3 linked regions of the Rattus norvegicus genome follow. The protein of the gene in region 2 purifies or fractionates together with the protein of the main gene of each other region. This does not show direct contact. Links are inferred from orthologs where the notes say so. Each region holds a gene or a part of one and is shown on either strand. Other genes may lie near its edges. The genes, in order: Lgals3bp, Tubg1 and Cct3.

Region 1 (6,568 bases), about 18 Mb from region 2:
CGGCCCTCACTGGCTGAGGCCCCATTAACCAGGCGCATGTCTCCATCCTTTGCACCTGTCAGGAGAGTGGAGATTAGCTGGGAGGAGGGCTAGCCTGGTCTGATGCCCACTCCCCGTGTACTCAATGCTCTGTGTGCTCTCTCGTTGAGCAAAGGTCACCCCAAACAGGGTGGAGTGGCCTTCTGGAGATGCCTTGAACCACTTCAAGGGGCCCTCCCCGCACGTGCATTCGTGTGTGTGTGTGTGTGTGTGTGTGTGTGTGTGTAAGGTTACCCACTGAAGGGCTGGAGAGATGGCTCAGTGGTTAAGAGCTCCGACTGCTCTTCCAGAGGTCCTGAGTTCAGTTTCCAGCAACCACATGGTGGCTCACAACCATTTGTAATGGGATCAGAAACCTTCTTCTGGTGTGTCTGAAGACAGCTACAGTGTACTCACATACATAAAAACAAATAAAAAAAATCTTTAAAAAAAAAGGGGGGGGGCTGGAGAGATGGCTCAGAGGTTAAGAGCACTGACTGCTCTTCCAGAGGTCCTGAGTTCAATCCCCAGCAACCACATGGTGGCTCACAACCATCTGTAATGGAATCTGATGCCCTCTGCTGGTGTGTCTGAAGACAGCTACAGAGTACTTATATATAGTAAATAAAGAAATAAATCTTTAAAAAAAAAAAGGGGGGGGGTTGGGGATTTAGCTCAGTGGTAGAGCGCTTGCCTAGGAAGCATAAGGCCCTGGGTTCGGTCCCCAGCTCCGAAAAAAAAGAACCAAAAAAAAAAAAAAAAAGTTACCCACTGAAGAAGAGTGAAAACTCTGATGAGCCCACAGAGGCCATGGTCTATCTAGCTCTCATCTCTGGGTCTTTTTCTCCAAGAGGACACCTTGGCTCTCAGCCTACTGAGTGAACTTGGGGGGGGGGGGAGAGGCTCTTTCCTGGCTCTCTGAAACGCTGGTATGAAGGGGAAGGTGGGTCCTGGGTTCCTAGACACAGGCAGAGAGCAGATTAACCTCGGCTTACGATGGGTGATGTCTTGACACCCCAGTGCCACCTGTCTCATGGCCTCTGGACTGTCCCCACTCAGCAACAGGACATTGCCATGCTGCCTGCTCCCTCCAAAGTGTGGGGACGAGGGAGCTGTGGTGTGGGGTCCCATTGTAAGAGAGGAGCGGGGTGCACAGCGCTGATATCCCAACTCGCACATACAGTTGCTACCTCATCCCTACAGTGTCTGCCTAGAGGGGACAACACTGGACTAGAGACAGTCTGCCCTCAGGCACAGGTAGCCAAGGGAGTCCTGCTCCCTGCTCTCTGGGACTCCCGTCTCTGTCCATGCCGGCTGGGTGCTTGAATTGGGGTCACCCATGCTAGAGCGAGATACTCAGCTGAGGGTCCAGGATGGGCAAGGCTTTCAGACCCATGGTGCAGTTTGTAAACTGTTCCACAGGGACTCTCTGGCATTCTAGCCTGTGACCTGAGAGCTCAAACTCCAGGACAACACAGGCTGCACTCTCCCTCCTTGGCCCACTGATGAGGTGAAAAAAGATTCCTTGGTCTCTTCTCCAACACCTGCATTTCGGGGAGGGGGCAGGGCCCATACAGGGCCACCATTCAGAATGACTGAGGATCCACATGGCAGAGAATCCTAAGACATGGTGTCTTACAGGATGCCACCTGGCTTTTCTGCAAAGATGGGGAGGGGGTGTGTGTGTGACCCACACAGAACAAGGCACCAAGGCGCACGGTCTTGACTTCTGTTTTGGACCTTTCGCTGAGCAGGACTCACCTTGAGTCCCTGGAACCAGCAAGAACACAGAGAGGAGCCACAGAAGAGCCATTGCCTGACCTGGAAGCCCAACCTGCAGCAGAAGGAACAACAAAGTTAGACTGGCCACAGCTCTCCGGAGGAGACTGGTAGTTCCATGGTCCCCTGTCAAGTTTGTGGAGGACAGGATGGTGTTGTGGGTGGTCCCTCTTCCGTAAGGCCCAGATGGCCATGAGATGACCCTTATGCAGGCCTCTCTCTCACATGCTCTATGGGACAACCTTCAGGACAGTAAGTCTCCCCAGATGAGGCAGGTGGGTTGAGGGCTCCTGGCAACGAGAACCCAGGAAATAGACAAGAGGCTATCCCTCAACGGTTGGTCTTATCTTCAGGCAGCAGCCCCCTTCGGGGTGTGCCCCAAAGGGACAAGATATGCCAGTCTGGGAGGGTGTTGTGGATGAGGTTGGAGCAGGGAACTCTCAGGAGGAAGTGACAGAGACAGTTGCAGAGGTCATGGCGTGATCTGGGGATGAGTGGGAGATGGGTCAGGGTCAACTGCCAAGGTGCTGACACACAGGGACTCAATACTAAGACTCTCTCGCCTGTCTGTAGAATGGGCCCCACCCAGGCACTTTCTCTCGGGCCCTGCATGAAGGGGGCTGACCTAGAGAGCAAAGTGCAGCAGCCCTGGTAGACTCATTCTAGTCCCGAGGGCAGTGAGGTCGGGGCTGGTAGTGGACGGTGCTGTAGAGCTCTGTCTCCTGGGCAGGAACTCAGCAACGAATCTCAAACTGTTTTGTTACTCAGACCAGGGGCCCAGAGACCAGCAGTAGAGGTTATCCCAGGATCAGTAGAAACACCAGGATTGTCCTCCACCCCAGACATTCTGTACCAGAGCAGCACGAGCAAGACCTCAGTGATCCAGGGCTCTTGTAGCCATCTTGGCAAGGGTGAAGATAGTCTAAGACAAACTCGTGCCCTTCCCTTCGGTTATCGTACTACTGAAGCAAGGACAGAACTGGAATTCCCCCTGGGAGTCTCATGCTGAAAGGAGAAAGCTGTTGCCTGGTGACAGCCGGAGGGGAAGCTTGTCTCCAGGAAATATCAGCCCAGTCTGGGATTTACAGCCCAGGCATAGGGCAGACCAGTTAGCTATACATTCCTCTATGTAAACCTCATGTTAATATCCCCTATAGACTCTGGGATGTTAATGGGGGAAGGCCACTGGACTCTTCTCAGTGTGGCTGGCGGAGTCTGGCTACCAGGGGAGCATTCTCACTATAGGCTCTGACCGCTGAACTCTATAACTCGATGATGGGTGGGAAGCTTGATCCTTAGTGCTGTGCACCCAGTCTTATCCCAAGGAGGTCTGGGTTCCGGGAAACCTGAGTCCCAGGCAAAGTGCCCTGGGTGCCCACCCCCTCCATTTACTATAAGCTGTGGTTATAGGGTTTGTCCATGCTGGGTCAGGAACTTTAGGCCTTGGGAACATTGCAGGGTATGTGGACATTTTTGTCCACTGGATGACAGGGGCTGTTTCTGCCTGACTCCTTTGTGTGGGAACTTGGGATGTGCCTGCCTATGCTGGCTCATTCAGTACCACTGTGTAGGTCTGTTTAGTCCTGGGTGAGAATCCACAGACCCAGGAGAAGGCCGAGGGATGAACTGTACCCCACTCACCCCTTCAGTTGTTCTTTCAGTGAACATCCTGCCTAACTGTTTAGAGGCTCTGCAGGTCTAGGTGTTCCTGTGTTCTGCGACCCCCCCCCCCAGAAATTATGCTGTGTAGAGCGGGGACTCACCTGGGAGCAAGAGACAGGTAGTCAGTCACCTGTCCAGGCAGCTGCTGCAGATGGTCCTGGAGCCTCCTTGCTGGCTGCAGCTCGAAGCTTTCTGTAGACTGTTCAGCTGAGAAAGGCCCCACCATGTGGTTTTCCTCAGCCTCTTCCCCGGAAATGCTTTATAAACCTAGTCTAGTTTCGATTTCCAGAAAACACATGACGGAGGCTGCCTCTGGGGTTGGCTGCAGACAAGGCTAATAGCCCTCTGCTTGCTGCTCTGCAGGGAGGATGGCAAGCACCCAAGTGCCCTGTGCTGAGCTGATAAAACAACAATGTTGCGGCTGAACAGATACATGTCCAGGCTGGCCAGGCAGGCACCCTGGGAGGGCAGCTTGGAAGGGGATGGAACAGATATATCCCCTTGCTGGCCTGGTAAGCACAGTGGGGGGCAACTTGTCCAGGCTGGCCAGGCAGGCACCCCGGTGGATGGTGAGAAGATGCTGCAAATGGGCCGGGGAGCAGAGGCTCAGGTCACACAGTGTCTGTGAACATGGATGTGGGCTGCACAATCCTTTCCTGGATCTGGGGAGGCTGGCTGTGCTCACTGCACAAACCTTCCGTGCTCAGAGCATGCTCGGAGGGAAGGTATGTGGGCCACAGAGTGGTCCTGAGGGATGGGAATCGAGATAGAAAACAGGAAGCAGGGCTAGGAGCTAGGGGTGGCTTGCTGGTTAAGAGCATTGCCTACTCTCTCGGGGGATCTGAGTTCAATTCCTGGCACCCATGTTGGTTGGCTTGGAACAGGCTTTAAGTGAACTCCATGGGATCAGACTTTGTAGGCACACACATACACCCAAGTGTGCTCATGCATGCACACACGCAGTGCACATACGTTTAAAATTTAAATCTTAAGAGGTTTCTTTAATACCTGTGGTGGCAAACACCTTCAACTGGGAGGCAGAGGTAGGTGGATCTTTGATAGTTAGAAACTAGTCTGGTTTGCGTTGTAAGTTCTAGGTTAGTCAGAGCTACGCAAAGAAAGCCTGCCTCGAAGGAAGAAAAGGAGAAAAACAAACAAACAAAAAACCCAAAACAACAACAACAACAACAAAACTAACAACAACAGAGATGGTAACCTGCAGCCAGCCAATCTTGACACTGTGAGTTTGATCCCTGGAACTCACTGCAGGAGAAAACTGACTCCTGTAAGCTGTCTTCTGATCTCTGTATGTCTACCATAGCCTGTATGTGCATGCACGTGGACACACACAGTAAATAAATGTGAAAAATTATATAAAATTCAAAGAGGACTGGGAGGTTGCTCAGTGGTTAGGAACACTTGTTCTTCTTGCAAAGAACCCAGGTTCCCTTAGGAACTCCCACATGGTTGCACACAATCACCATAACTCCAGTTCTAAGGGATACAACGCCCTCTCCTGATCTCCATGGTCACCAGGCACATATGTGGTGCACACACATCCATGCAGACAAAACTTCCAAATATATAAAATACATTAAAATTAACCTTATGATAGGTTTATACAGTGACCTAAATCCCAACAGCTCCCTGTGGCTCCCCCAGCTGCCAGCCCCATAAGGTTTACTACCTCAAGACACTCAACTCTTGAATGCTATTCAAAACGTCCGACACAAATGACCCAGGAGGCAAAGTCAGGTGACTTCAAATTGGTATAAAATCACCCTGTTCCTTTCTGATGTATGGTTCAGGAATTTACCTGCTGTGTTTCTGTCCTTGGTGTCTACTTTTTTTTTTTTTAAGGATTCATTTATTTTATGTGTGTGAGCATTTTGCCTGCAGGCAAACACACCATGTACATGTGTGCCATACACCTGTGCGTATGGTGGCCAGGGTATCAGGTTTCCTGGAGTTGGAGTTACAGACGGTTGTGAGCCGCCATGTGGGTGCTGGGAATTATACCTGGCTTCTGTGCAAGGAGTATTCCTTATCAGTTGAGCCATCTCTCCAGCACCACCTCCCAAGTGTCCTTTATTAAAACTTCTACATCAATTCTGGTCTGGCAAATCCTTTTATCCTGTGCTTTGAGCTCTTTGTCCCAGGTATGACACCAGGGAGGGAGGCCCCGAGGTCCTCTAAACCCAGATAGTAACTTGTGAGTGGATACACTGGGGTTCCATACACACCTGACTCGATAATGCGATCTCCCTCCCAATGGCCCCAGGGACCCTTTAGGGTTCAGACCACCACAGGCTCTGCCTGGCTTACACCCATTCCCCTTCCTCCACAAAGACAGACAGACAAACAAACAAACAAACAAACAAACAAACAAACAAAAAAGCAAAAGACCGGGTCTTGGTTTCTACTCGGGGAGTCCTCAGTCAGTGCAGCTCAACCTGGGCTGGCCATCTGGTGTTCAAAAGGCCCAGGGAGTTCTGGGGTAAAGCCCTTTTGGGTTCAGCAAAAGGCTTTTGGCCTCAGAGTTCAGGGGTTGGACACTCAAGGACTGGCTCCCTTGGATGTGAAGTTTCCATTGGCTATGGGGTCATTCAGTCCTGGGAAAACCACGCAGAGAGCTACAGGCAGGGATCAGCCTGACTCTGCAGATGTCCAAGCTTGTTGAACCGGGGGCTAACTTGTGGCTTCTGTCACCTTTGGCTGAGAGTGTGAGAGGGAGAGTGGAGGTGTACCCTGGAGAAGAGAAGTGGGGGGGACAGTCAGCCTACCTGGACTGCCTGCCTGGTGGCTCCAGGAATCAACAAGTCTCTTTGGTGCCTCCATCCTGGGGCAGGCCCATTAATCACCTGGAGCCCGGGACCTAGGCTTCTCCTGGGGGAAAGGATGCCAAGTTACAGAGGCTGTCACAGGGTGTGTAGTCTGTGGCAGGCCCAGTTGCTCTATGGTTCTCGGCCTTCCTAATGCTGTGACCCTTTAATACAGTTCTTCATGTGGTGGTGACCCCCACCATAAATAATCTCATGGCTACTTCTTCACTGTAATTCTGCTACTGTTGGGAATGGCAGTGCAAGGATCTGATGTGCAACCTCAAAGG
Region 2 (6,568 bases):
GAGTTTATATTTTATCTACTTTTTCAGACTCAAAAAAACCTGAAACCAAAGATATTTCAGACTTCGCTTAGCAAAACCAAAAATCAATAGGGAAAGCTACATTGATGTTTCTAGTCAATGCACTGTCATCAGACGTCTCACTGCAGAAATATTAGCATATCTGATAGCACATCTCAGACCTCCACCGTTGTATGGGTAGTATTGTTTATTTTGTAGCTTCTAGGAATGTGTTGAACATCACACACTAGACAAACTTACACTGCTGAGCTAGACATCACATCCCCAGCCTTCACGTGGTCTTTTTGTTAAATCCGAATATTTATTTCTTTATTTTGAGAGGGTTTCTCTGCGTAGCCCTGGCTGTCCTGGAACTCACTGTGTAGGCCAGGCTGACCCCAAGCACACAAAGATCCACCTGCCTCTGCCTCCCAGATGCTGAGATTAAAGTGTGCACCATCACTGCCCAGCTGATATGCAGTTTACATTTGTATATACAAAGCTACCTTTCGGAACCAGAAGTATTTTGATTTCTTTTTTTTTTTTTTCTTTTTTCTTTTTTTCGGAGCTGGGGACCAAACCCAGGGCCTTGCGCTTGCTAGGCAAACGCTCTACCACTGAGCTAAATCCCCAATCCCTGATTTCTAAAAATAGCTGGCACCATGAATATTACATGATGGAGTGTGGACCTCTGTTTACCTTTATTTTATAAATGAGGAAACTGAAATAGATCCCTCTTCCTGAAGTCACATGACTAGGTGACTTCAATTGGTAGAAAGAATGCTTTTCTAGGATGTATGAAGCCGCGGCTTCAGTCCTTAACACTGCATAAAACTGGGCAGCCTGGGGGCTGGGGATTTAGCTCAGTGGTAGAGCGCTTGCCTAGGAAGCGCAAGGCCCTGGGTTCGGTCCCCAGCTCCGAAAAAAAGAACAAAAAAAAAAAAAAAAAAAAAAACTGGGCAGCCTGATACTTACTGGAGGTGAAGCAGAAGAGCCAGTATGTGAGGGTTATCCTCAGCTAAACAGAGAATTAGATGCCAGCCTTGGCTACATGAAACTCTGTCTCCCAAAAAAAAAAAAAGAGAGAGAGAGAGAGAGAGAGAGAGAGAGAGAAAGAAAGTAGAGCCCTTGCTAGCATAAGCAAGGTCCTACCCGGGCTCCAGCAGTTCAAACCTGAGTGTGAACAGATCAGCTTGGTTGGGTTGTAAATTACTTGCCTGTAACCACTGTTGTAGTACCTCTCAGTGCAAAGCAAGGCAGCTATGATGCATGTAAGACTCAAGGGCAGAGGGCTGGACAGACAGCTCAGCAGTTTAGAGCACAGAGGTCCTGAGTTCAATTCCTAGCAACCACATGGTTTCTTACAACCATCTGTAATGGGATCTGATGCCCTCTTCTGAGTGGTGCTGTCTCTTGTCATATAGGCATACATATAGAGTACTCATATACATATGCGTGTGTGTGTGTGTGTGTGTGTATAAATAATCAATGGTGGGTACACTGAGGTCAAGGTCAATTCCTGTCCCACCTCACCCTCTTCCATATCTGTCCAGGGAGAAAAAATCCACGAGGACATTTTTGACATCATTGATCGGGAGGCAGATGGCAGTGACAGCCTAGAGGTGAGTGTCCCAGGAATGTCAGTGGAGGTGGACATGTAGAGACTTGGCAACACCATTTAGAAATCCCCTGCTCTGGGCCGTTGAGATGGCTGAGCAGGTGACGATGCTTGCATTCAAGCTTGACAACCCAAGTGTGGTCCGTAAGACCCATGGTAGAAAAAGAGAACTGATTCCAAAAAGTTGTGCTCTGACTCTGCACACATACAGTGGCGTGCGTGCACACACACACATACACACACACACACACACTAATTAGAACAATTTTTTAAAAGCTACCTGTTAGGTACAAGACCAACTCATTCATCGTTGCATTTCACAGAAGCCACCAAGCCTTATTAAAGAGAAGACAGTCTCCTAGGCAGTGAGGGGACTTGGGAAGACAAGAGTCCAACACAATTCAGGATGTGTCTAGTTGGAAATTAGGGCTAGAGCGATGGCTACTGTGGTTACAAGCACTAACTGCTCTTGCAAAGCACCTGGGTTTAGTTCCCGGCACCCAGCATGGTGGTTTACGATCATCTATAACTCCACTTCCAGGAGATCTGATGCCCTCTTCTTTTTCTTTTCTTTTTATCAGAGCTGGGGACCAAACCCAGGGCCTTGCGCTCGCTAGGCAAGCGCTCTACCGCTGAGCTAAATCCCCAACCCCCTGATGCCCTCTTCTAACCTCCACAGGCACCAGGCACACACATGTATGCACACATATGTGTGCATATACATACATGCAGGCAGGCACGGGAAATAAAAATAAGCTTAAACTTTTTAAACTAGATCCTGTCACCAGACAGACACCAAAATGCTTATAAGCCGCTTTTTTACACAGGGATTTGTACTGTGTCACTCCATTGCTGGGGGGACAGGCTCTGGCTTGGGCTCCTACCTCTTGGAACGGCTAAATGACAGGTAAGCCTATGTTTGTGGGGCTAGGTGAAGATGGGTCCTTTCTCTTTGTTCCCTAAGGCACTTGGGGCCCAGCAGACATAGCTCCCCATGTGCTGTAGCCTTTCCATTCGAATCCTCAGACTGGGAGGAAACTGAAGGTGCAAGGCAAAAACCCAATAGAATTTGCAGAGCTCAGAGCCCAGCATGTAGGCCCAGCTTTGAATGGCCAAGGGATGTGTCCAGGTTTGGAGCATAGGATTTTACAATGTCTCTTCCCTTGCCCTTTTTGGGGTTTTATCCTTTCAAAAACTGCAACCTCAGGGCTAGAGAGATGGCTCAGTGGTTAAGAGCACTGCCTGCTCTTCCAGAGGTCCTGAGTTCAAATCCCAGCAACCACATGGTGGCTCACAACCATCTGTAATGAGATCTGATGCCCTCTTCTGCTGTGTCTGAAGACAGCTACAGTGTACAATATACAGCTACAGTATACATAGATAAATAAATAATTCTTCAAAAAAAAAAAAAAAAACTACGACCTCCTGTTCTGCTGCTTTTGGCGCAATTCTATTTTTCCGATTCACAGAAAAATGCTCCTAGACCCACCCGTTGAGAAGGTTGATGTTCACAAAATCTCTAATGTTGCCCTCTCCTCTCAACCCCACCAGGTACCCCAAAAAACTAGTGCAGACGTACTCCGTGTTCCCCAACCAGGACGAGATGAGTGACGTGGTGGTCCAGCCCTACAACTCCCTCCTCACGTTAAAGAGGCTGACCCAGAACGCGGACTGTGTGGTGAGGCCTGGATTCTTGTTCCGGCTCCCATCCCCCTGTCTGCTCATCTTCGTTTTGAGCTCTCTTGTGCCATAAGCCTGAGAAGGTCCCTTTGGAGTGAGTGTTTCCGACCATAAGGCTCAAGGCTAGACTCAGGCCAAGCTTGCGGTGTTCTTGCCCTTATAAATCTTCAACCCTTTGCTATCTCTTCTAGGTGGTGCTGGACAACACGGCCCTGAACCTGATCGCCACAGACCGCCTGCACATCCAGAACCCATCCTTCTCCCAGATCAACCAGCTGGTGAGCCCCCACTCCTGGAATGAGAGCCCTCTGTCTGCGAGAGAGTCATCAGAGGAGGGACGCTCCACCTCCATCAAGCCCCATGACACAGTATCTCCTGCTCCCAGGTGTCCACCATCATGTCAGCCAGCACCACCACCCTGCGCTACCCCGGATACATGAACAACGACCTCATCGGCCTCATCGCCTCACTCATTCCCACCCCTCGACTACACTTCCTCATGACTGGCTATACCCCCCTCACCACGGACCAGTCAGTAAGAGCTCCCCCAGTGTCCCAGCACTGAGGCCTTTCCCTTTTCCATACTCTCCCACACAAACCCGCTCTTTGCAGCCCTTCTCTACCCACCTCCCAGGTTCTATACTCAGGGCCTGACACTGCCACCAGCTTGCAGCCCTGCCTCCGTGTTCTACTACCTTTGTTTGGCTCCTGCAGGGGTGCTGCCCAATGGGGTCTCCTGCTCATTGCTCAAGGGCATGGGATTGGTGAGCTGAGAGCCATGATCGATCAATTGATCGATCCTAATCCCATGGCAGAGACTCAGCACAGACCTGATCTAAAGACAGTCCCCAGAGGCCACACCTCCTGCCAGCTGATGGGGACAGAGTTGACCCTTCTCCTCTGTCCATGCCTCTCTGAGTTGCTCCCTGACTGCTGCCCGGGTCCCTGTGAATCCCCGTTCCCTCAGGTGGCCAGTGTGAGGAAGACAACAGTCCTGGATGTCATGAGGAGACTGCTACAGCCCAAGAACGTGATGGTGTCCACAGGTCGGGATCGTCAGACCAACCACTGCTACATCGCCATCCTCAACATCATCCAGGGAGAGGTGGACCCCACCCAGGTAAGGGAGGCCCCTTCACCCTAGCCTGGGGACCACAGGATGGAGAAGAAGCCACCACCACCTCTCTGCCCACCCAAGGTCCACAAGAGCCTGCAGAGGATCCGGGAGAGGAAGTTGGCCAACTTTATCCCCTGGGGCCCGGCCAGCATCCAGGTGGCCCTGTCAAGGAAGTCTCCCTACCTGCCCTCAGCCCACCGGGTCAGCGGGCTCATGATGGCCAACCACACCAGTATCTCCTCGGTGAGCACAGTCTCCTGTTGTCCCTGTGTTACCGGGAGTCAAACCCAGGGCTTCGGGAATGGGAGGTAGCTCTCCCCACTCTGAGCCACACCCCAGCTCCTGGTCTTTGGCCACTCTGCTCCATTCCCTATGTCCTTAGTCCCCACCCTGTCTGTCCCTAGTTCTGTGTCCTGTGCTGGGTGCCCTTCTGAAGCTCACCTCTCCAACCGTACGAGCTGCCTCTGCTCTACCCACTGTCTCCGTTCCTTCCACCTCTGCTCCTAGCATCTGACTAGAGAATAACCATACCTTGGTTCCCTGACCCTCTAGGCTGTACTGTTTCCTGATTTCTTTGTGACCACCCCCAATCTCTGTGCCCTAAGCTTTTTGAAAGGACCTGTCGCCAGTTTGACAAGCTGAGGAAACGGGAGGCCTTCATGGAGCAGTTCCGCAAGGAGGACATCTTCAAGGACAATTTTGACGAGATGGACACCTCCAGGGAGATTGTGCAGCAGCTGATTGACGAGTACCATGCGGCCACACGGCCAGACTACATCTCCTGGGGCACCCAGGAGCAATGAGTCGCCCGAGACAGGGACCCTCATCTGCCTTACCGGTTAGCCCAGGCCCTGCCTGGCTGACTACCCCTCAGAGCACAGATCAGGGACCTCATCAATCACTCGCATACACATGCACTGTCTGTTGGCTTAGGGGCGGGTTTACTTCTTTGAGAGTATTTATCTTTAATAAAGCACTGGATGTAAACCGAGTCACTGGTCTCTGAATTCACACTTGGGAACAGGGGCTGAAGGAACCTGTTTCTGTGTCACTGACGCTTCCTTTCTGCACTCCCAACGTCTTCAACTCTGGACAGCAAGCCGCCCGCCTCTAGCTTTGCCTTTGGCCTAATTGTGGAAGACACAGATGGCTCTTGACCCTGCTGGAATTCCTTCCAGAATAAAAGGAACCACAGATAAGATCTTTCTCTCCATCCAACCTCCTCTGCTCTCAGTTCCGTCACACTGGACCAGAGGAACACTCCTCCACTTGCACGTTTCCACACCGGAGTGTCCTGTTTGCAAAGACACGCCTGGGGCCACCACACTACCTACCCGGAGCCCCTAACCAGGGCAGTCAGCCTTTGTGCCTTCCAAGCGCAGGCCAGCAGACCAGTGCTGAAGAGCCAGTCCCAGCGAGCCTTGACTGGAGTCTAGGGAACATCAGGAGACCGTGTCCAGTGCCTACACAAGCAGAGTCAAAACTGGTTCCATTTCTGTTCTCAACTGGTCTTCATTTATGTAAAGTTTTTATTACCTTTCAGTCCTTTTGGATGTAATTATGAGTATGTATAAGCCTTGGGGTAAGTGTGGAAGTCAGAAAATAACTTGGGAGAAATTTCTCATCCACCGTGTGCGTCCAGGGTACAGAACTTAGGTCGTCAGACTCAAGGGCAAGCCACTCTGCCTGCCAAGCCATCTCACCACCCCATTTTTTTTGTAAATTTATTTTTGATATATGGGTGTTTTATCTACATGTTTGTGTGTACCATGTACATGTAGTACCGGCAGAAGCCAGAAGAGGGTGCCAGATCCCCTGGAACTAGACTAGTTGTGGATGGTGAGTCTTGGTGCTGAGAACAGAACTCAAGCCATCTGGAAGAGTGCCCAGTGTGTTTAACCTCTGAGCTCTCACCCCAGTATCCTCCATTTTTACAAATTCCACTTATTTAAAAGGCCAGTGGGAGGAAGATCACAGACAAACAGTGATTTTGTGGCTCTTAAACCCTTAGAGTCCTGGGTGGCGGTGGGTGGTGCATGCCTTCGAACCCAGCACTTAGGAGGGAGAGTTAGGCGGACTTGGAAGCCAGTCTGGTCTACAGAGTGAGTTCCAGGACCGTCAGGGCTACCCAGAGAAACACAGCCACTAAATAAATA
Region 3 (6,568 bases), on a different chromosome or scaffold from region 2:
CCTAGGAAGCGCAAGGCCCTGGGTTCAGTCCCCAGCTCCGAAAAAAAGAACCAAAAAAAAAAAAAAAAAAAAAGAACTGGGGATACAGACATATGCCCCCACATCTGGCTTTTTATATGACGTTAAGATCCACATGCAGATCCTCATGTATACATAGCAAGGATTTTAACCACTGAGCCACCTCTGCGGTGCCCCGACATATCTTTTACAATGGTCCTAGGTAGTAGGCAGTATTAGCAGCATTGTACTTGAGGAATCCCATGTTGATAAAATTTGGTCAGGATTCCACAATTGGCACATGGCAGTGCTAGAATTAAACCAGGGTCTCTAGACAGCAATGCTATGCTCATCATTGAATGAAATTGAATGAAAAATAACTCATCAGGGGTTGGGGATTTAGCTCAGTGGTAGAGCACTTGCCTAGCAAGCACAAGGCCCTGGGTTCGGTCCCCAGCTCCAAAAAAAAGAATTAAAAAAAAAGGGGGGGGGGCTGGAGAGATGGTTCAGCAGTGAAAAGCACTGACTGCTCTTCCAGAGGTCATGAGTTCAATTCCCAGCAACCACATGGTGGCTCACAACCATCTGTAAAGAGATCCGATGCCCTCTTCTGGTGTATCTGAAGACAGCTACAGTGTACTCATATATAATAAATAAATAAATCTTAAAAAAAAAAAAACCTCATCAAAGTCAGATGTGGTAGGTAGTACATGCCTGTCAACTCAGCAGATGGGCAGGCTGTGGCAGGACTATTTTAAATTTGAGGCCATACTGGTCTATATAACAACTATTTAAAAAAAAAAAAAGAAAGAAAGAAAGAAAGAAAAGGAAAAAGAAAAGCTATCCATTTTTTTCCAGCTCCCTTAGCAGTAGGCCATACCTATAATCCTTGGGCTGTGGATGCTCTGGCAAGAGGGCTGTCTCAAGTTTGAGGCTAGTGAGTCCCATGGCCAGCAAAGTTAAACCTGTCTCCTTTACCCAAAGAAATCCCACAACTGCTTTCCAAGTAACCAAGTGGTGGGCAAAGCCAGCCATTTCTGCAAACACTGAGTGAATCAGGAAGGCTGGCTTCTGAGGAAGGGGACGCAGGGGTCGTGACACACCTTCTTCCTTAGTAGGATTACTGGTGTGCTGCTCCATCTCAACAGCAACAGGTGTGGTGCCTGAGGAAGAATAACAGGGTCACAGGGTCACACGACAGGGCTTTGTTTCCTGAGCACTCCCCCGAAGATCCGAACCGGCCAGAGCTGCTCTAATGTTGGGAGGCAGAAGTGTAACAGTGTATACCATCTCATAGAGGTGTCTGTTTTTAAATTTAATTCTTTTGATTTTTAATTATGTGTATATGTTCACGTATGAGGAGATCTCCCTCGAGTTAGAGGTGGCTGTGAGCAGCTGGACATCAGTTCAGGGGACTGAGCTGAGGTTCTCTGCAAGAGCAATATATCCTCTTAACCCACTGAGCCTTTCCTCCTGGCTGCTCACTGATGGGGGGCGGGGAAAGGGGACGACTGAAGGGGTTGAAATCGCTATCCTCTTGACTTAGCCTCTGGAGTTCATTACAGGAGTGTGCTACCACACCAGGCAAACAACTACTCTGAAATAGTCCATTTTTCTCCAATTCCCTTCGGCAGAGTTATTTGTTAGTGCCTTTTCACTGAAGACAAAACAAACCAAATACGAACTTTAAATCTACCACAAACATGTCATGACCCTTCAAGTCTTCTAAATGTTTAATTACTAGCCTTGTTTTTTGTTTTTTCCTATATGGAGTGATCTGGCAAGAGGGCTGTCTCCAGTTTGCGACCCGCCTGGGCTACACGAGTCTTGGGCCAGCCTTGGAACTCTAGTAAGATAATATGGTAATTTAAAAAACTACAGCTCCCTTTCCTTGGTCACTAACCAGTGATCAGGCTATGCAGTGGGGGGAAAAGGCTCAAAATTCTACAAGAAACACGACTTAGGATATTCGGGGTAAATGTAAGAGCTTCTCCTTTACGTCTTATTGCCTTAAGATTCAAAGTAATTTTTCTAAGACGTAAAACATTAGGACAGGAGAGATAGCTCAACAGTTAAGAGCACTAGATGGTCCCACAGAGGCCATGGGTTCACTTCCTAGCACCCACGTGGTCCCACGAGGTGGTTCACAATCATCAATTCCAGTTCCAGAGGATCAGACTCCCTCCTGATCTCCTCTCGCAAGTGGTGCACCTACATACGCATAGGCAAACCCACCATACACATAAAAATAAAAAAAAAAATAGGTACATCTAAAACACCAAGATTTTTCTTTTCTTTTCTTTTAAAGAAAAGCAGCGCGTCTAGAATAAACCACAACTCCCAGCATGCTCCGGGGTGGGGTGGGGGAGCCGTTGCGGCCCCGCCTCATAGGAAAACCTCCACTTCTACACCGCCTCAATATTTCTGGCAACTACCGGTATTTCCGGCTCCTGTGCTCCTCCCTACTGCTAAAGCTGGAATAAAAAGTGGCGAACTATTATGCCTTTCTTGGCCTTCACGGTCGGACGAGAACCGATGGACAAAATAGAGCTTCATGATCTCACCTACAGCATTAATCCAAAGCCTCAACCCCAGCACCCACCCTCTAGCGGGCACTCAAGCGCTGTAGCGAGCCAGCTAACCGCCCGTGCCTTGGCGCTTGCGCAGACATTCTGCCCGCACGCGGCCGGGAGCGGCCACGCTAGTGCGCAAGCGCTTGCGTCCCCCCACCCATCATGCTCTCTCTAGCTAGCTTGCCGTGCCTTTCTTGCGTAGAGGGCGGGGCTAATACCTACGATTGGCCTATGTTTATGCCAATCAATGAAATGGGCTTAGTGATTGGCGGTACTTCAGAGGTTAGCATGTTTCTGTGTCAGTCCTGAGGAGGCAGCGTTTCCTTCGCTGCTCTTCTCTCCAGAAGGTTCTGCCGATTTCCCCCAGCTCTGGAAAGTCGGCTCTTCGTCGTGCCGCCATGATGGGCCACCGTCCAGTGCTCGTGCTCAGTGAGTTCAGGGAAGCGATGGCTCCCTCCGCCCCTCTCTCCCCATGCTTGCCAGTGTTTCCCGGCCCCGTCCCGCCATGACTCGGCCCTCGTGCTTTCCAGTCGTCTTTTCGCCTTAGAACCTCCTTCCTTAGTTTTTCTCCTCCTGCCTTCTCCTGTCGCCCTCTTTTGACAAAATGACTTTCTGCTCTCGGAGTCGCTAGTTTTTAACGTGTGCTTTATCCCATTTGTGTTCCGTTCTTTAGTCGCCACCCTCCACGCCCCCGTGTCCTTTACAGCATGATTTCCGTCTGGTAGTTAGTAATAGTGGTTCTTAACGTTAGGCCTTGCTTCGTATCCTCGGTCCATCCCTTAGGAGAGGCGTGACTTACGGCAACTCGCTTGATTTATGCTTTAATAACAGTGTTTAGGAGACCGTAGTACTTCTCCAAAGAATTATGAGTTAAGTTGGTAAGTAAAGCTTCCTTTACCGGCAGATCGGAAATGGCATCTTTTCAGTAGCGGTCATTCAGCAACCCTTGTTCTGAAATGACATTCCTTGCGTTCCCGATCTTGAATGTGATCTTTCCCACCAGCCAGTTAAGTTCTCCCAGATTCCTCTCCTGTTTTCTTTAACTAACGCCTCTCATCTCAGTAAAGAGCACCAGTTCCTTGTCAGTTACCCGAGCTATTGAGAATAATTCAGTAAACCGGGTTCAAAGTTAAGACATACTAAAGAGAAAAACATGTAGTATGGCCACACTGAGAGGAGAGACAAAGGGGTTCAGTGACACTACCCCTCCTACCAACACTTAGATGAACGAATCTATGGGGTTTTAATTAGCAGACCAGAGGCATAAGGAGTCATCGTTTTCTGCTCTAGTCTCCTGAGAAAGTTTACCTACAGGCTGGCTCTCCAGGCATCAACATCCCCTGGAACTGGAGTTATGGGCTGTTGTGACCACCATGGGGGGCTGGGAATTGAAGCTGAACCATCTTTCCAGCCTCACAAGCACACTTTCTTGGTCACTAATCTTTGAGACTCTGTAGCTCCTAATCCCACGGAGGTTGTAAGGGATGTGCACTCTGGGAAAAATCACCATCCTGCTGAGCCCCATTCAGGGACCTAAAGATATGAATCGCTGGAAGTGTGTGAGCATGCATACAAGGAAAGTATTGGTCAAGATTCTGAAGTTAAAGCATTTCAGGTTATCTCTTAATGTACTGGGGCTTCTCTTCATTCTGTGTGTCTTTTGCCTGCATGTATGTCAGTGTCTGCAGACACCAGAAGAGGACATCAGATCCCCTGGAAGTGTAGTTATAGATGGTTGTGAGCTTCCATGTTGATGCTGAAATAGAACCAGAGTTCTCTGCAAGAGCTTCCAATGCTTTTAACTACAGGGCCATCTCTCCAGCCCCTAAAGGTGCTTTTTGAGACAGGATCTCACTTTGTAACTCTGACTGGCCTGGAACTTTATAGACCGAGTTGAGTTGGTTCAGAAATTCATCTGCATCTCCAGTGCTCAGATTAAAGGCATATGCTACCATGCCCAGTCTTAAACCATTGTAATTGTAACTGCTGGTTATACACTGAAACCTTTGTATTTTTGTTTTCAAAACTTGATAAATAAGGTTGGTGGTAGGATCCCTAAGCAGGTTTAAAAAGAAAAAAAGCACCAAGCCTAATAATAACTGGAGGTCTTTTTATTATGGTTTGTTTGTTTCGTTTGAGACAGGTTCTCTATGTAAACCAGGCTGGCTTCCAAGTCACAGAGATCCTCCTGACTCTGCCTTATAAGTGCTGGGGTCAGAGACATGCGCCACCATACCTGACTTAGATGACCAAGTTTAATCCCTGGCACTTATATGATAGAAAGAGAATTTAGTCCTGAAAGTTGTCTTCTGACCTCCAAAGTTGTGCTACGCATTGTACACTTGATATGTACATATATACATTAAAAAATGTAAACATTTTCTTTAAGTTAGGAAATAAAATGATTGTGTACACTGGGCTATTGACACGTGTTTTTGTCTGTTTTAGGTCAGAATACAAAGCGTGAGTCTGGAAGAAAAGTTCAATCTGGAAATATCAATGCTGCAAAGGTAACACATGTTTTAAGTGATAATAGCAGTTCATTCTGGATGACTCCCTAATATTTCAAATATTACAAATCTTCATTATTTGTAATAGCAAACTTCCTATGGTTCTGTACAGTTGAACAGAGGAAAACGCATGTTTCCCTGACAGTGATACAGGAAGGGAGGTTTTTAAAGATTTACTTATTTATTCATTGTTTGAGTGTTTTGCCTCCAAGTATGTGTACGTGTACCATGTGCATGCCTGATGCACAAGAAGCCTAGAAGAGGTTGTCAGATCCCCCTGGAACTGGAGTTCCAGGCTGTTATGAAAGTTACTATGTGAGTGGTAGGACTTCTGAAAGAGCCTAGGTCCTCTGAAAGAACCCTGTCCCCTCTTTGGAGACAGGATCTTGTCGGGGTTGCCTAGAATTTTCTATGCACGCCAGACTATCTTTGGACTCAGATCTGCTTGCCTTTGTCTCCCAAATCCTGGAACTAAAATCATGTGCCAGCACACTTTCAAACTCATAAATATATTTTTAAGTGAATGATTGAAAGACTTGATTTCATGTGGCTTAGAGACCACTGTCAGTAAAAATATTAAGGCTGGACTCTTAGGACACTAAAACGGAAGACTTTTTTTTTTTTTTTAAGATTTATTTATTTATTTATTTATATGTAAGTACACTGTAGCTGTCTTCAGACACACCAGAAGAAGGCATCAGATCTCATTATTGATGGTTGTGAGCCACCATGTGGTTGCTGGGAATTGAACTCAGGACCTCTGAAAGCAGTCAGTGCTCTTAACCACTGAGCCATCTCTCCAGCCCCTGAAGACTCTTTTTGAAAGTTCATTTATCATGTCTAAAATAGTTAGCATTCTTGTTAAACACTGACTCTGGCTGGAAAGATGGCTTTTTTTTTTTTTTAACAATTTCTAATTTACTTTATGTATGAGTACACACAATTGTTATCTTCAGACACACCAGAAGAGGGCATCAAATCCCATTACAGATGCTTGTGAGCCACCATGTGGTTGCTGGGAATTGAACTCAGGACCTCTGGTAGAGCAGTCAATACTCTTAATTGTTGAGCTATCTCTCAGCCCCAAGCACTTGCTACTCTTGCAGAAGACATAGATTTGATTCTCTAAACCCAGGTGGTAGCTCACAACTTCCTGTAACTCCAGTTCTAGGGCATCCAACGTGCTCTTCAGGCATCCATCTGGAGCACAAACATGTATTTGAGCAAAAGACTCGTACCTGTAAAAAATAAATCTTCAAAACACTGGCTATGCACTGGGCATGGTGGAGCACGCCTTTAATCCTTTCATTGAGAATCAGAAACAGGGCTGTCTCTTACGTTCAAAGCCAGTCAGAGCTACCTAGTAAAACCCTGTTTAAAACAAAGTAATGGTTCTGTTTGTGGTTCTTCGAAACACATTATTCTCTGACTATGCTTCTTGTTTTGTATTTCCTTACCAACAGACAATTGCAGACATCATCCGGACCT

Evidence for each region.
Region 1: the proteins of Tubg1 (region 2) and Lgals3bp purify together in Homo sapiens (affinity purification with mass spectrometry; 3 studies listed by BioGRID and IntAct, counting the BioPlex papers as one, with this or other methods). This does not show direct contact. The link is inferred for Rattus norvegicus from reciprocal best matches to the Homo sapiens genes TUBG1 and LGALS3BP.
Region 3: the proteins of Tubg1 (region 2) and Cct3 purify together in Homo sapiens (affinity purification with mass spectrometry; 3 studies listed by BioGRID and IntAct, with this or other methods). This does not show direct contact. The link is inferred for Rattus norvegicus from reciprocal best matches to the Homo sapiens genes TUBG1 and CCT3.

What each region holds. Positions count from the first base shown.
Region 1 is NC_086028.1:104,124,154-104,130,721, forward strand, and holds the start of Lgals3bp (galectin-3-binding protein precursor), read right to left. Parts: upstream 3,696-6,568; 5' UTR 3,561-3,695; intron 1,853-3,560; 5' UTR 1,832-1,852; coding exon 1,780-1,831; intron 56-1,779; coding exon 1-55.
Region 2 is NC_086028.1:86,554,330-86,560,897, forward strand, and holds the end of Tubg1 (tubulin gamma-1 chain), read left to right. Parts: intron 1-1,550; coding exon 1,551-1,619; intron 1,620-2,442; coding exon 2,443-2,522; intron 2,523-3,166; coding exon 3,167-3,293; intron 3,294-3,486; coding exon 3,487-3,573; intron 3,574-3,680; coding exon 3,681-3,830; intron 3,831-4,262; coding exon 4,263-4,415; intron 4,416-4,493; coding exon 4,494-4,655; intron 4,656-5,017; coding exon 5,018-5,215; 3' UTR 5,216-5,404; downstream 5,405-6,568. UniProt on the Homo sapiens protein: Tubulin is the major constituent of microtubules, protein filaments consisting of alpha- and beta-tubulin heterodimers. Gamma-tubulin is a key component of the gamma-tubulin ring complex (gTuRC) which mediates microtubule nucleation.
Region 3 is NC_086020.1:176,060,671-176,067,238, forward strand, and holds the start of Cct3 (T-complex protein 1 subunit gamma), read left to right. Parts: upstream 1-2,858; 5' UTR 2,859-2,968; coding exon 2,969-2,999; intron 3,000-5,018; coding exon 5,019-5,080; intron 5,081-6,543; coding exon 6,544-6,568. Other genes in the region: Tsacc (TSSK6-activating co-chaperone protein), read right to left, coding at 1,101-1,137. UniProt on the Homo sapiens protein: Component of the chaperonin-containing T-complex (TRiC), a molecular chaperone complex that assists the folding of actin, tubulin and other proteins upon ATP hydrolysis.